4 linked regions of the Nothobranchius furzeri genome follow. The main gene of each other region encodes a partner of the protein of the gene in region 3 in a complex. Links are inferred from orthologs where the notes say so. Each region holds a gene or a part of one and is shown on either strand. Other genes may lie near its edges.

What was found. Proteins that work in one complex are often made in the same cells at the same time.
Region 1: cc2d2a (region 3) and tmem17 share a complex: the UniProt entries of both Homo sapiens proteins name them as parts of the tectonic-like complex. The link is inferred for Nothobranchius furzeri from reciprocal best matches to the Homo sapiens genes CC2D2A and TMEM17.
Region 2: cc2d2a (region 3) and b9d1 share a complex: the UniProt entries of both Homo sapiens proteins name them as parts of the tectonic-like complex. The link is inferred for Nothobranchius furzeri from reciprocal best matches to the Homo sapiens genes CC2D2A and B9D1.
Region 4: cc2d2a (region 3) and tmem107l share a complex: the UniProt entries of both Homo sapiens proteins name them as parts of the tectonic-like complex. The link is inferred for Nothobranchius furzeri from reciprocal best matches to the Homo sapiens genes CC2D2A and TMEM107.

Annotation. Positions count from the first base shown.
Region 1 is NC_091744.1:77,713,003-77,716,638, reverse strand, and holds tmem17 (transmembrane protein 17B), read right to left. Parts: upstream 2,351-3,636; 5' UTR 2,268-2,350; coding exon 2,153-2,267; intron 2,018-2,152; coding exon 1,914-2,017; intron 1,711-1,913; coding exon 1,597-1,710; intron 1,520-1,596; coding exon 1,376-1,519; intron 1,240-1,375; coding exon 1,162-1,239; 3' UTR 504-1,161; downstream 1-503. Other genes in the region: agbl2 (cytosolic carboxypeptidase 2), read left to right, coding at 1-131, 203-233, 321-489. UniProt on the Homo sapiens protein: Transmembrane component of the tectonic-like complex, a complex localized at the transition zone of primary cilia and acting as a barrier that prevents diffusion of transmembrane proteins between the cilia and plasma membranes.
Region 2 is NC_091752.1:49,448,082-49,452,096, forward strand, and holds the start of b9d1 (B9 domain-containing protein 1), read left to right. Parts: upstream 1-1,212; 5' UTR 1,213-1,401; coding exon 1,402-1,464; intron 1,465-1,588; coding exon 1,589-1,657; intron 1,658-2,662; coding exon 2,663-2,771; intron 2,772-2,847; coding exon 2,848-2,944; intron 2,945-3,034; coding exon 3,035-3,097; intron 3,098-3,774; coding exon 3,775-3,842; intron 3,843-3,914; coding exon 3,915-4,015. UniProt on the Homo sapiens protein: Component of the tectonic-like complex, a complex localized at the transition zone of primary cilia and acting as a barrier that prevents diffusion of transmembrane proteins between the cilia and plasma membranes.
Region 3 is NC_091748.1:39,031,129-39,034,641, reverse strand, and holds part of cc2d2a (coiled-coil and C2 domain-containing protein 2A), read right to left. Parts: intron 3,041-3,513; coding exon 2,955-3,040; intron 1,503-2,954; coding exon 1,401-1,502; intron 1,333-1,400; coding exon 1,249-1,332; intron 1,173-1,248; coding exon 969-1,172; intron 883-968; coding exon 729-882; intron 646-728; coding exon 509-645; intron 417-508; coding exon 285-416; intron 1-284. UniProt on the Homo sapiens protein: Component of the tectonic-like complex, a complex localized at the transition zone of primary cilia and acting as a barrier that prevents diffusion of transmembrane proteins between the cilia and plasma membranes.
Region 4 is NC_091745.1:78,310,944-78,315,182, reverse strand, and holds the start of tmem107l (transmembrane protein 107), read left to right. Parts: upstream 1-1,436; 5' UTR 1,437-1,743; coding exon 1,744-1,830; intron 1,831-3,463; coding exon 3,464-3,531; intron 3,532-3,604; coding exon 3,605-3,705; intron 3,706-4,239. UniProt on the Homo sapiens protein: Plays a role in cilia formation and embryonic patterning. Requires for normal Sonic hedgehog (Shh) signaling in the neural tube and acts in combination with GLI2 and GLI3 to pattern ventral and intermediate neuronal cell types.

The DNA of each region.
Region 1 (3,636 bases), on a different chromosome or scaffold from region 3:
ACAGTGGAAATGCTCCTCTCAGCTACTACACCTGAGTGCTCTCCTTCCACTTCCTCCAACTTTCATTCCCTCTGCGCAGCACCAGCGTTTCCCTCTGCGCCAATCTCTTTCCCACTCTCAAGTCTGCAGAGGTTTGTTTCTTGAACAGCAGCTTAAAGTCTCCATCGGTTTTTGCCTAATGCGAACCACCTTCTTCTTTCAGGGCTGACATCTCCTTTTGCAGCACCTGGCAGGTAAACTTCATGGATAGATTATAGTTTATTACAAAAGGGTGTGTTGTGTGTTCATAATTTTTGTATGCTGTGTTGCTTTCATGGCAGATGTCCCCCATCTTTGTCTACCAGCATGGCTCCAGCTGTTGTTCCAAAAAACCAGCCGCTGACGAGTTTCACCTCCACCAATACCAGCAGTCGGCATCGTTTTAGAAACAGATCTTGTCTTCAGGCGTCCTCCACATCAAACACAAACCTAATCAAGACAAAGCAGTGAAACGGGTGCCAGGATTCTTCTCAAAGTTCAGCTGCATTTTAATAGAACAAGTTATTTTTGTGACAATGATGCTTCATTGGGAAGATCTAACAGAAAAACACATACGTTTTATACCAAATCTCACTTATCTCTTCGTCTTGTGACAATAACATGCTTTAATTCTTCTGATTATTCTAATGCAATCTCATGATTTCTCAAATAATATTTTCAGTACATGAAAATAAATGTTGTAAAAAATATAAAATAAAATAAAGCACTTGGGTGTTTCATGAATTTTGTTGAAACTTTCTGTTTTGGTCAGAACGTTTCAGTCCCTCTGAAGCAAAAAGCTCCTGAACAAAGAGCAGCGTAAATGTCGGTAACTTTGTACAAAAATTTCTTTTGTAATTAAAAAATAACTAAATGGTCAACAAATCTAAACCAGATGCTAACTAACAGTACAGAGTGAGTCAAGTAAACATGATTTACTTCAAATTTACAAAAGCAATGATACAAGTGGAACAAAATACAAAAATAAATATTTTCTATTATTTTTTAGCATTAAATTTAAAATTGTGTGAAGAAAGTGTACCAAATCCTATATGCAAATACATAGTTTTTGTCATTTGAGACTGGGAGGTATGAAGTAAGAATAAATCCTGATCAAATGGAACACCAGAACATATGTGGACGTCAGTCAAACTGTTGGAGATGAAACTGGCTTCCTGTGTGTCTAACCATTTCCCGCAGGGCCACAAAACCAAAGACAGCCTGGATCAATCAGAAAACAAAAAAAAAACAGATTACAATCAGTCACAATTACTTGATCTCAAATTTGAGAAAACACAATAACATGTGTATTTAGGTGCATTTGCCACGTAAAATGGAGCTGAGAATCCAGTCATACCTGTGTGAGGATAAATATGGCAAGAACTATGTGGACACCTCTCTCCAAGGGCAGTATGATTATGGCTTCATTAAAAAGTTGAAAAAGAATGAGTGGAAACTGCAGCAGGATGCTCAGCAGCCAAAAGCCGGCCAACTCTGGAACCTTCCACAGATCAGAAATTACATTCAAACCCCACCCTGCATTCAGCACCTGTATCATGTCATCTGAGATGGTCTCACCTTTTCTTGCAGGTTTCCAGAGTAACCAAGATAAAGTCTGATGGCCTCAATCAGAGTCATCAGTAGAAGAACAGTCACAAGGACAAACTTGTAGTAATTTGGAAGGGCAGGATACTGCAAGAACAACTACCATCAGCATTCTTGTTGTGTTGGAAGCTTCAAAACATACATGAAAAATCTGATTCTAAAATGAATTGCTATAGTTTAATACATATCCATACTTAAGCACCAAAGTATCCTAAATCTAGCTTAGATATTTGGGATTTTTCTTTCTTTCTGGGTTTTCTGCTCGCGGCTTCCATCCACCAACCTCGTACCTTGAGGTGAAGCATCACAGCTTCACTGATCCACCAGAACGGGAAGAACCACGTGTTAAAGTACAAAGACATCTGGAGCTGGAGGCTGGACAGAACCCGTTTGTCTAAACACATACAAAAAAAATGAGGGGAACTAACTAAAATCGGTATGGTAAAGTAACAAGGCTACACACATCCATGCTAACATCCATGCTAACTCGACTTCATAGTTAGCTTGTGTTTTTGTTTTTTTTTTTTACCGTGAGGTATAAACGAGTCGTTGTGTTTTGAGAACGGCTCATTACGAGTCTGGTCGAATAAAACATTCCGAGAAAAATCTTCTAAGCGCCTCCTAACTGTCTCCGGCAGCTCCATTGCAAAGAAAATCAGGCTAAAAACAACATGACCAGAGGAGAAACACTTCCGCTTTTTCCTACTAGCTCCGTCGTGAAAGCCACCGTCGTTTCCATGGTAACCATTGATGGTAGTGGGGGTGAGAGAAAGTGAAAGGCCAGAAGCAAAACGTGTCTCCTTTTGCGTTTTCAAAACTTCCCAGATTTTAACTACATTGATAATAAAAATTTAAAAAGCGAGACTAGATAGGGGGGAGAGTATAATGTGTAGCTCAAATAATATTTATGGAAGCTGATTAACGCTACTCATTAAAAAATATCTCATTTCATTATTATGAGATAGCATTTGATATGGCTTTATGTCTCAGAATAATTAGTTACTATGAGACAGCATCATAATTTTTACTAGCTATCTCATTATAGTGATACTAGGGTTGCAGCTATCGAACATTTTAGTATTCGAACATTCTATCGAACCCTCTGTTGATTCTCTTTGACAATGTTTTAAGTGAAACAAAATTGTGGCTTTCTGCAAAAAATGTGTATGTAAAAATAGTATGTATTCAATAGGTGTTGTCTAGTTCCCTCCCTCTCTGCACCAGTAAAATTTGGTGCACATATTTAAACCCTCCCACTGTCCTAATGGGTGTGACCCCACGAGGAAAGTTGACCATTGAGCAGGGTTGATGGTTTATCCCTTGGGTCCACGTGGCAGGGGTGAGGAGTGAGCACCACCTCACCCCTGCCACGTGGACCTCAAGGGATAAACCATCAATCCTGCTTTATGGTCAACTTTCCTCGCGGGGTCACCCATAAAGACAGTGGGAGGGTTAACAAAGTCTTGAATCAGTAAAAAATAGTTCATGAAATTTAATTAATCAAACCATTCATACCATTTAATGATTAATTTCCACCCTACGTGATGAGATGTGGGGCTGAAATGAATAGATAGTATCTCATAATTATGAGACGCTATCCCTAAATAATGAGATTGTGTCTTGTTATTATGAGATAGGTAAGTCATAATTATGAGATACATTTTTTTAATCAGAGTGGCAGGAATGGGCTTCCATACTTATGGGAACCATGCTCAGTAAGTTTTTTTTAGTTATACAAGTCAGGCAAATAACACCAGGAGGAGGAAAAAACCTGTTTCATAGTTGTTGTTTTTTTGCTTTAAGAGAAAATGAAAATTACTGATTGTGTGTGAAGCCACTCCCGCTCTAGCAGAAACTAGGATGGCTGCAACAAGAGAGGCAGCTGATTCTCTGTCCAGCTACATGTGTTCAAAGCTGATGAAGAACCCTCTTTACTGTGGACATGTGGACTTCTGCATGGACTGTGTGAACAGCTACTGGGTCCTGAAGGAGACGAGAGGTGTTTACAACTGT
Region 2 (4,015 bases), on a different chromosome or scaffold from region 3:
AAGGATCACTGATTGGCCTGACCAAGAGTTGTTTAGGCCACAGAGTGTGGGTAGACCGACCTGCAGGGTAAAATATTTTTGAACCGCATTGGTTTGTCTAGTTTTCTAGGCTTATGCTCTCAGAACTTGCCTTCCCTGTCTTCCTGTCATAGATTCAACAAGGTGTTGGAACCCGTCCTCAGAGATTCTGGTCCATGTCATCCCACTTTTACATCCATGAGGGGAATCTCCCATTCCACCACATCCCAAAGATTCTGGACCAGACTGAGATTTGGTAACTGGAACCCATGGTCATGTTCCAGATCCAGTTAGAGATTATCTAATCTTTGTGACATGGTGCATGATCCTGCTGGAAGTAGCCATCAGAAGATGGGTCCAAGTGGTCAGAAAGGGTTAGGCTAGATTTCTAAATGCATCGAGTTCCTGCCATATGATCGCGAAGATCAAAAAAGAGCTGGAGGTGAAAAAGTGATACAGGTGCTGAGCTTGGCAGACAAAATGGGAGATAAAAGGAAGCAGGTGCAATAAGAGCTGCTGTTTATGGAGCTGCAAAGGTCAGAAGACTTGGGGTGGGCCCTGGAGACAGCAGGAAGCACTGTGTGGGAGAGAGCTGAGAGAAGAGCAAAAAAAAAAAGGTTGCTGGGTATGAAACAGCTGAAAGAAAGAGCTGTTTTTGTCACATCTGAAACAAAACACAGTATTTAGACACACGTGCCAGAGGGGTTTACATACTTTGGAATGCAGATTTTTTGGTTTCATTCATTTCTGATTTTCAAGCATGTGGCGCAGTAGGAAAAGCAGACATCCATGTTTATATACAGCACTGGAGGTGTCCAGTTAGCTGGAAATTTTAAGTTAGGCTTCTTGTTTTGGATGTTGTTTTGTTTCAGTTATTGTTGAACAGACATTGCAGTCCTTTGGGCCTACAAAACAATAAAACGATGGTTGAGAAATAACATTTTCAGGGCTGGTAATAAGGTTAAAAAACGATTTTCAAACATGTTTGGTCGTGAAGTGATTTCAGTCGTGAATGAGAACGAACCTGCATTTTTAAAAGTCAGTGTATTTGATTTTGCTACCCTCTAGTGGACGCCTAGACAATTAAACCAGAGTTTTTATATTGTTTCTCCGCCTTCTTTTCTCCTTTTAATAAACTTCGGGTGTTTATAAAAATAAGTATTTTGACTGAATTTCTTGAATTACTTTTTGCTCTATTTAAAATTAATTTTAACACGTGATGGCCCAATATCACCAATAAGAATTGCGTTTAATTTTATCCAAACCGGTAGCCATAGGGAGGAGTAAACGTTGCCTTAGCAACAACCTCGGATCGCTTCAGACTGACCAAATTAGCTCGACTTATTTAACAGACTTTTACTTTCTTGAACCTCTGGAGTCACGATGGCAACAAACAACCCGAGCGTGTTCCTCCTCACGGTGAACGGGCAGATTGAGGGAGCGAACGTAAGTCGTCTTTTTAGCTAGTTTTAGCTTAGCTGCTAGCGTTAGCATTAGCAACAATGGCTCGTTTGGTGCTTCATCCGGGATGTTCCGGGTTGTTTATGGTGATGTTTGTCTTTTATTTCAGTTTCCAGAGCATGACAATCTGTACTGCAAATATTGTTACGTGTACGGCCACGACTGGGCTCCAACCACAGTGAGTATTACAACCATTAGCATTTAGGATGAAACATGAAGTATGCTTGTTGGGTACCACTTTACAATACTAATACATTTATTATAGTGATGTTATTAATGTTTTCAACGTTTTAAAGCCATTAAGTGTTTATTATGCACGAATTAAGGGTGAGAATGAGACTAAACTGGCCGGATTCTTGCCGGTATACTTCTACTAGACTGTATGTATTACACAGATCAGACTGCTATATAAACAATTTATTAGCATATTATAAAAACATAACTATCACATGACGTCAAAAGTGTAAAAAACATGTAACTTTCTGAAATGTTTTAATATAGAAACTAGAGGAAATATATGGGTGATCAGATATGGCTCACTATTGGGCAAGATGTCTCTTTTCCACTCTTCGTTCATGTAAAATAAACGTCTTGGGTTCTGAGAGCACTTATTGTGCATTTTTAATTTTCATCTATCTGTTCTGGATTTGTAAGACCTCAGAAATATATTATTTAAAGCAAATACTAACTGATAATGGATTTTTTTTAGCTCTAAATTAAAAATAATTAATTACGTTTCCTTGAGTAATAATACAATTTTGTAAGATATAAACAAAATGATATCTCAAGGCTTTTTCCACATATGTGGATGCTGTGTTTACAGATGGGTTCATAACAATAAACCTTATTGTTAAAGATGTTCAATATGCTTTTTTTTACGGATAATACTACGTTTGAACACGAACCCACACAGATGCAGACAGTAACAAACGAAACCTCAGATCAGCCATATTTTGATGTGTTTGAGGAGTTTGATGTATAATGTGAGCATGTTATGCAAAGGTTGTGTCATTCAAACAGTAAAAAAGATAACTCAACGATGTTACATTTTAATGCCAATATCGGACGATGGTATTGCCCAATAACGTCAGACGTGACTTTCAAGGATACAGAACAGGGTTTATAGATAGTTAATGCAGCGGTGGCTGGATGGAGTTGTGTTGTAACGAATGTGACTCTCCAGGGACTGGAAGAAGGAATAACTCAAATAACCTGCAAAAACAGTCAGACACAGAGATTAGTCTGGAACTTTCCTCTGGAGACGACGTTTAAGAGCACAAATCCTTTTGGGTGTGAGTAGATCACAATTTCATCATCATCATCATCATCATGTGTGACTCTTTAGGATTAACGCCGTTTGTCCCCCAGGGCCTCAGCTGGTGGTGAGTGTGTACGGACCAGATGTGTTTGGTAACGATGTGGTCAGAGGCTATGGAGCAACGCACATCCCCTTCACACCTGGACAGTCAGTATTACTTTCATGTTTGACCTAAAAGCATACAGAATGTGTTACTTCGGTTTGAAGATACAGATCTGAATGTTTTTCACTTGTCAGACATAAAAGATCCATCCCCATGTTCGTTCCCGAGCCCACGTGGAGACTTCAGAAGTTCACAGGGTGAGATCGGTCTCCTTAGCTGTTGGAAACCCGTGATCTTTAGAGGAACAGTAAATATTTCATCTTCCTCTCATGTGGAACGCAAGCTTCCAACACAAACACACGTTTTAAAGGTTCATTTTTGACTAATCTTTGTCACGTTTGGATACTTTAGATTCACACTCGGGCTTGTTTGATGTTGCTCTCAGTCTTTTTAGTGTTTTTCTTTTCATTTTTACCATGAAAACTGAATATTAATGTGATTATTATTAGATCTGATGGAGTTTTTTGCCATTTTGAGGAGCGTTTTGTGTAAAACTTACTAATTATCTGGTCAGAGAAACAGACTGTGCATCCTAGAGGACTGATGAGCCACATCCAGGCCTCTAAATGTCATAGATCGCCATGTGAGGTCATTTCACTGCTGTCAGGTTCTCATCACATAGACATTTTAGCAGAAATATGAATAAATTCCTGCAGGACCTGACCCCTGATGCACCAGAAATGCTAGTTTATTGGGGATGTTTACATTTGTAAAGAATGTGATGAACCACAGTGAGCTTTAGCAGACCTGTGCCGTTTTAGGACAGCAGCAACTGGGACTAGCCATTAGCACGGCCTTCGTGAAGGATGCAAATTATTCAGGAAGCTGTGAACTGTTTCAGAGAAACACGCTAAAAGATCCTATTTCTGTTCAGCTGGCTGCTGGGGCGGCGGCCCGAGTACACAGACCCTAAGGTCGTGGCCCAGGGTGAAGGCAGAGAAGGTTAGTGGTGCTTTTTCTTCTTTTACCTTTCTAGAATAAAACTTTTAACATATATATATTTTTCCGTTTCAGTGACAAGAGTTTGTTCCCAAGGCTCTGTAACCGTCTCCTTTCACATCATGAGTAAAGACATGAAGAAGATGGGCTACGACGTGGGACCGTCACACGTCCAC
Region 3 (3,513 bases):
TGTCTGTTTGTGTGTTTATGATTAAAGATGAGATCAATTAAACTACAGAAGCATTTGTATATTAAAAGATTCTGAATGCGTTGCATTTTCTCTAAATCTGCCCTTTGTCCCTGTCCGTTAGCAAGAATGATCTAATTACAGCCTGCCAGTACAGCGGATGGACTCCTATTATTCCTACTTATAGGAATAAATCTTTACTAAAGGGAAGCCTAATAAAAACAGCAAAAATGAAAAATCTTCCTTTTATTAACCCTGCGGTTTCATTTCTTGGTAACTAAAACTACCCTCCGGTAAACAGTTTGCAGTGCAGGATGAAGGTCCTCCTCCATGTCAGCCAGTGGCGGTCGCGTGGACGATTCTTTCACAGGGTCAGGCAGAGTGATGATCCTCCCATCATCTCCAAACCACTTCCTTCCCTTCAGGAGAAACAAACATCACAAAAACACGTTTGAATATTAACATCAAAATGAGGACAGTTATTTGTTTGAGCAGAGCAGCAAGCTGACACCTCGTCCATTTTCAAAAGGCGGTTCTCTAGAATGTTCTCATTGGTCAGAGATATGGCGGGCCTCTTTCCCACGTAGAGACCCTCCTCCTCCAGGAAGCGAGGCTTCATGTTTTCAGGCAGTTTGACCGAAGCTGGCACTGCAACACAACGAATCATAAAGACACGGTTCCAGGTAACGAGCAGCCGGCTGTACGTCACCAGTGTGAATCACATGTTTTACCAGTTCGAAAGCTCGGTGTGAACAGTTCACTCTCCTGCTGAATACGTGTGTGGTAACTGACATATTCAGCCTTCTTCACTACCAGGAAGTCTTGAGGAGAATGATCAATGACAAACAAGTCATCTGCATTTTGAACCAGGTGAGCTTCATCGCTCTTAAGCAGGTGCAGAAAACCAGAGTGAATGTTTTAGAACAAGTAAAAATAATCATCTGAGCACAATCCTCTCACTGATGTGGTACCTGGTTTACAGTTTCATCTTGATCATCTTCCCCTCCGGCATCTTCTTCCACCTCAGCTGCCTTTCCTTCCTCCTCATCTCTGGCCTCCTCTGCAGATTTTCTTCGTATTTGCCGTTTTCTGCTGAGCCTCTCATTCGGACGATCAGGCTCAAAGTTGAAAGTAAAGAAATTGTATGACTCCTCAGCCGTTGGGAGGTCTCTCACCTGCACGTACAATATTAATGGTAATTATAAAACTCCATACAAGTGTTTTTGTACAGTCTGAATCTAAGTGTCTTACTCTTCTTGCAGCCTCTCTGAACTTGATCCGGTTGTGAAGAACCGGAGGGTCATCATGTCTTCCTGCACCGACTGGATCAACCTGCTAAATTAAATAATAATTCATCTCTCCAGCTATTTTGGAAACCAGCGTTCTTTTGTGGTTGACCTCACCCTTGTGTCAAACCTCGTCACGGTGTCTCTGTCTCTGAGCTGTTGGAGTCGACTGGGTGACTGTACAGAAGCCTCTAGCTGTTGAAGCTTCTCTCCTTTAGACTGGAACACAAGATCCAGGCGTGATGTGTCAAAAGGGTCCCTTGCACATGTAGCGACATGAATGGCCTCATTTGTGACCCAAAGGTCACACACACTTCCCCAGCTGGGTCACGCTGTCCTGGCTGAACTTCAGTCCACAGCTTATCCATCACAGGAGGCGTAAAGTCTGCTAAAAACCATCTTTTCTCTGTCTGCTGTTCCGTCCAAGACGAAGGACACTTCAAGATTTAAAATAATCATTTTTAATAAACTCTTTACACTGTTTATTTCAAGGTTCATACATAATCATCATGGTTCATTATAAATGTATTTCATTACTGAAATGACTTATTATTCTTTGGTTAATAATAATAATTATTGTTTATGATAATCAGTAATGTTTGATCAGTAACCAGAAGGTCAAGTACACGTGTACACACCATGCAGGGTAAAGGTAACTGCACCTCACACGTCTTTGCTCCATAACCAAAGCTTTCTATCTCTGAGAGGGCGTGTCCTGAGTTTTAATAAAACCAAAAACTCCTCAGTTGAAGTTCAGTCCTGAACCAACCAAAGTCTCTCCGTGGCACGAGAGTTCCACGAGGATAAGGGTCGGCCGCCCGAAGCCTCCACCTGTCACGCCGATAGAATCGCTCAGAATAAACACCACCTGCACCAGCGGATGCAAAACTCCTTCAGAGTTAAGCCAGACGCAAGCTCAACACTGTGTACCCTGCGACAACTCTTGGACCAGAGAGTCGGTACCACTCGGGTCTCCCCTACCGGACCGAGTACCCAGAGGCTGACAACATCCTCCCTTTGACCTCCGGATCCACACAGAGGGTCGTCTAACTGGGTGAGGTGGAACACAGATGGCGTCCGACGCTGTTCTCTCTAAGAAACAACTCAGTTAGCTGCAACAACTCTTTCACCCACAACGTGTTTCTCTCTCTGAAAGAAAACTCTGAGAATCCATCCACGCATTCCACTTTAGTTTTCACCCAGACACAGGTTGCTTTTAATACCAAGTTTTAATATCAAAGCTGTTACAAATGGTCATCTTTAAATTATTAGTAATAAATTCTTAACTTTTTAAACCTGACTCTTCTTTGAAATGAAACACAGAGTGGTGTACATTTGGTTATTGAATAAGCAAAGATTCCATTAAGTCTTCTGTTTAATAAAATTTCTTAAATTAAATATTAATCTTTGGATTAAATATAGACCAAGACAGTTGGTGTAGGAACTTCTATCGATTGTATAAATATCCTGGATATTTATACATGATATAGCTTCATATGCTAATATTGTTGCTCTTTCTCAGGATCTAACAAAGCTGATAGCAAACAGCTTTAAATCCAAGTATGTAGATTGTCCATGCTGCACAGACTAAAATGTCTATGTGTGACTGTATGATTTAAATCCTAATTACAATAACAACGTATTTGCATGCCAGAACAAAAAAGTACTCACCCGTGCCGCTCTGAGCTTCTCCTGCAAGTGCTGTGTCACAAAGGTGTCTAAAAACACGGAGCTGGAAGGCTGTGGGGTTGCTGAACCTTGAATAAAAGCACATTGGGAAACAATAACTCCAATTTTTGTTCAGCATTGTGTGTTACTTGTTAATTCATCTGACAGAGCCAAGCAGACGTGCATACCTCTGTTGATCAAAACTAATGTGGTTGTTCACTCCTCTTTCTCTCTGATATCAGTTTTCTCATTATAAACTATATTAAAATGTCTGTTCATGTCTGAAGCTACAGGGAAAATGTTGAGAGAGCTGAATCCTCCTTTACTCAAATACCTGTACTACTGGTGAAACCTGATTCAGAGCTGGTGCTAACATGTGAGTCAGTCACAGCTGGACAATGTTAAAGGTCCACTTCACCCATACTACTAATACATTTGCAGTGGCCCATAATAGGAATGAATGCCTTGTAAGTCTTTCACTGGGGTAAAAAAAAAGCTCTGGTGCACCTGCTTGAAGACGTAGCATTAAGCTAGAGGAGAAAGTAGTTTCAGATGACAGGAT
Region 4 (4,239 bases), on a different chromosome or scaffold from region 3:
TGTGGATGTGGGAGAGGTCGAAAGAGAGAACAGACAAAAAGACCTGAGTCAGAAACAAATGCATGAGGTGTTTATCTGAAGCCTCTTATGTTCGGCCTTGTCAAGTGAACAGAGTAACTGTGTAAAGTTAGAATAACCAGAAAGAAAATATGTAACGAAGTTAGCTCACATTTTCTCTCAAATGTTTAACAAACAATAAAAATGTTAAATTCACGAAAAAAAGCATGATGAAAATCAGTTTCCGTGGACGTGGTGGCTCTTTTCCATCACTGCAGCTAGAGGGCGCAGCATCCCGTTTCTATGACAACCAGCATCATCTCTGTCTTTTCGTGTGCACGGCCCAACGCCTCTCGTGCTATTTTCTAACATATTTAAATTAGTCCAACAGTAAAAAAATCAAACGCATCAACTTCAGCTTCCACGTTTTAAATGTTGTTTTGTTGTTATTTACACAGTGCCAGAGCTTTACTGTGACGCTGATATCATGTCTCCAAACGGAATTAGCACGCTCCATCATCACAGCTGGACACATCTGTATGCAGATGGCTTCATATCTGAAACATGGGGGGAAATCCGCTAAAACATCCAGACTGAAACTGCACAAATGGCTGAAGTGACTAATAAAGCCAGCGTCATACTCACGTTGATGCGAACCAGCGCGTCCATGATAGAAGTAAAGGTTTGGAACTCCGACTCGGCCATGATGCTTTCTCGATTTAAGCGACTCAAAAGGATCTCCTGGAGAAAACCCCGGCTGGTTGTCTTCTTCTCCTGGCCGCGAGGCAAAGCCCGGGCCTTGGCTGGTGCCGCTCCGCTGCTCACGCACGCTGGATCGGTTCAGTCTGCCTCGGGGGAAGAGTCCACTGGTGGGATGGGGGTGGGAAATCTCTGGCTCAGACCATCTAACAGAAACACATTCGTTTCTTATTGCGCTGTTTTGTTTTACAGGCACGTTTATCCTGCCAATTCCAATTAAACATGCGGTTGTTGTTTGTCTTTTTAAAAATAAAACCGTTTTATCCAACAGCGAACGGATCTGGTGGCCCTTTCTATTTCTTTCATTTTGTCTTGTTTTTTTTTTCGGGGAACCTGAATTTTCGGGTAGTTTTAAGCATTTTTATGATAAAAATGAAAAGACATCAGGTGTTACCATCAGATCGCAGTATTGATGAATAAAAAAAGCAAATAAATAAACAAATAAATAATAAATAAATAAATAAATAAATATCCAGCTACACGTCAAGCTACACCTCTTTTACTAACTCTGACCAGGAAAAATGAAACGCGCTGACTACCCACCGTTACTAAATAAGATGTTTGGGTTTCTCTGTTTTATATTATTTACTGCTGATTAAAAACTCTTTTACGTGACGCGTTCATGGTCAACGCGGAACCGTTTAGGTGTTCGTTTTTTTGTCCGGTCATTAAAACCGTATGCACATTGTCCGTGGTTGTTGTAGCAACCGTTAGTTGCGTCACAACGTGAAGTTTTTGGCTCTGTTAACGAACGAGACACAAAACTAAGCTATAGACTTCGCGAGTTTTTAAACAAACAAATGAATCAGCTGGTTTATGTCATTAGCCGCAAGATAAACAGATGCTAAAGTGTTCGTTTAAAGTTAGCACATTTAGCTACATGCTAGCCTAGCTTACTGAGTGGTTTCCGTCGCAGTAAACAAAAACCTTTTACTCTTTTTTTTACTCACGAGCTTTTAGAGTTTTACTTTGCTGATTAGGATCACCATGTCGGCCATCAGCAGCCTTGTTCCTGCTCGGTTTCTCACCATCACAGCTCATCTTGTCATTGTTATCACCATCTTTTGGTCAAGGGTAAGAAAAAAATGGTTTATCTTTAATCTGATTTCTTGTGCCTGATTTTATTTTCATAATGGAGAAAACTTTATGGGATTTTAGATCTGTGGTTTTATTAGACGTTGCTGTTATATGAAATACCACAAAGGTGAACACACAAACACATTGTTAGAAATTCTGCTTAAACATCAAAGGTAATTAAAACATATTCCTTGTTGTGTTATAAAACGTCATTTAAGTTCCAGGAAGTGTCCTCATTGACCCCTAACCAGCATGTTCTGGTTGTTTCCCTGCCCAAACACACCTGATTCAATGGTTGAGTCACCTGTTTAGCATGATTAGGTCTGCAGAAGCTGTTAATCACCTCTAGGGTTGTCACGGTGTGAAAATTTAACCTCACGGTTATTGTGACCAAAATTATCACGGTTTTCGGTATTATCGTGGTATTGTTTTAAACGTGTTACATTTTCAGGAAACTAAATAAACCCTGTATATCAGGAAAATATTGTCCTCAGTTTGTGTCTAAATTTTGCCTAAAATGTGTTATTTTGTAATTATGTTGTTTATTTGTTTACATATTTCCCCTTAAGTCTTTAAAATACCAATATTTGCCCATAACTTTTCTTATTTTATGTCTGTTTGATGTCATCATTTTAAAAATATTAGACCAGATGATACTCAGTACTCAAGTAGCCTTCTAATCAGATACTTTTTACCCTTACTTGAGTAATAAACCCTATATCAGGAAAATATTGTCCTCGGTTTGTGTCCTTCCAGTGAGCTTTGCAGATGTGGGAAAATGGCATCAGGCAGTAATCGTTGTTAAATTCATAATTATTCTCGGAGAGAGACCAACTCTTATCTGCCCCTGGGAGCCCCGTAATGCATAGCGTCATTTCAACATGGCGGTGTCCGCGACACGGTTTATATGCAGGTAGCGGCGCTGCGGCTGCTTTATATAGCGACTCGTTGCGTTCTCCCTCAACCCAAATCCTCGGATCACGCATTTTAGCTAAAGCGCTAACGTTAGCTTGCCTTGCGTTGACTGTAGAGTTGTGGGTGATGGTCACGCAGATGTGTCATGAGATTTGAAGCGTTGCTGCCTTTCACAGACACTTTTTCTGCTCGTGCTGCAAACAGGATAGCCGTCTTCTATCAGCTTTCCCTCGGCATTCTTCTGGTATAAAAAAATGCCCGTACTTCTGACTTTGTCTTCTTAGAGCGATAATAAATGTCCTGAGTGCTGCCGTCTCCTCCTTTGTCCGTTATTTCAGCTTTAGCTTCAAGAAAGTTTTGGTTGTAAACAACAAAGTGCGCATGTGCCGCCGGCAACTTCAGCAGATGATACGGTGGCTGGTAAGGGTCACCGCGCCTACACCGCAGCCACGGTAATCCACCGAGATAATATAGTTTTTAAAAAAACAAGACGGTTATTATTATTGTCAACTTTTTTACCGGGGTTTACCGCTACACCGGTTACCGTGACAACCCTAATCACCTCTTGGTTAAAAACAGCAGAGCAGAGAAACCACTGAAACATGCTGGATAGGGGCCCTCGAGGTGCAGGGATGGACACCACTGCTCTACGGTCAACATCACATCCAGATTATTCAGCCCTTGAAATAATTTGCAATTGTTTTTCTTTTTATAGGAAAATAATGTAAAAGCATGTTTACCACTGGATTTCACACCAGAGCAGTATGATACCGAAGACAAAAAGTGAGTAGATATGTATGTAACACACTCGTATTATCAGGTTCTCGGATTAAATGATCTCTTTTGTTCCCTCCAGGCTGGTGGTGGCGCTGGCAGTCACACTTGGTCTGTTTGTAATCGAGCTGGCTGGCTTCTTTTCAGGAGTGTCTATGTTCAACAGCACTCAGGGTCTCCTGTGTATCCTTTACTCATCCTTAATGAAATATATATATATATATATATATATATATATATATATATATATATATATATATATATACATATATGACCTTTAATATTCAACAGTAAAGCGACTTCTGGTTAAGGCTGTAACACAAAGAACACGCAGCAGCAGCAGCTAGTGGATAACTAGCTTAGCTCTCTCCCACTTGGTCGGTTCTCTCTAAAAGACAAACGGAATAGCTGAATAAAACCCAAATTACTATAAAATAAAGGTTTGTTATAGGTTAAAGAGTAAGGATGAGTGAATTTGTTATTAAAAAGCTAGTCACTCCCAAATTAACTTTTTTTTTTGCTGATTAACTATATAAATGAGTGTCAATAGTTTTGCTAAGAAATACACACACACACACAGGCTCACAACGACACTGTGACATCATATGGTACCAGCTAACGTTCTAGGGTACCTCTTAGCCAATAGCGATGGCAGATTTAAATTCAAATGCAGTGCAGAGTTTTTACCTGACAACGGCACGACACTGACAGTTTTAG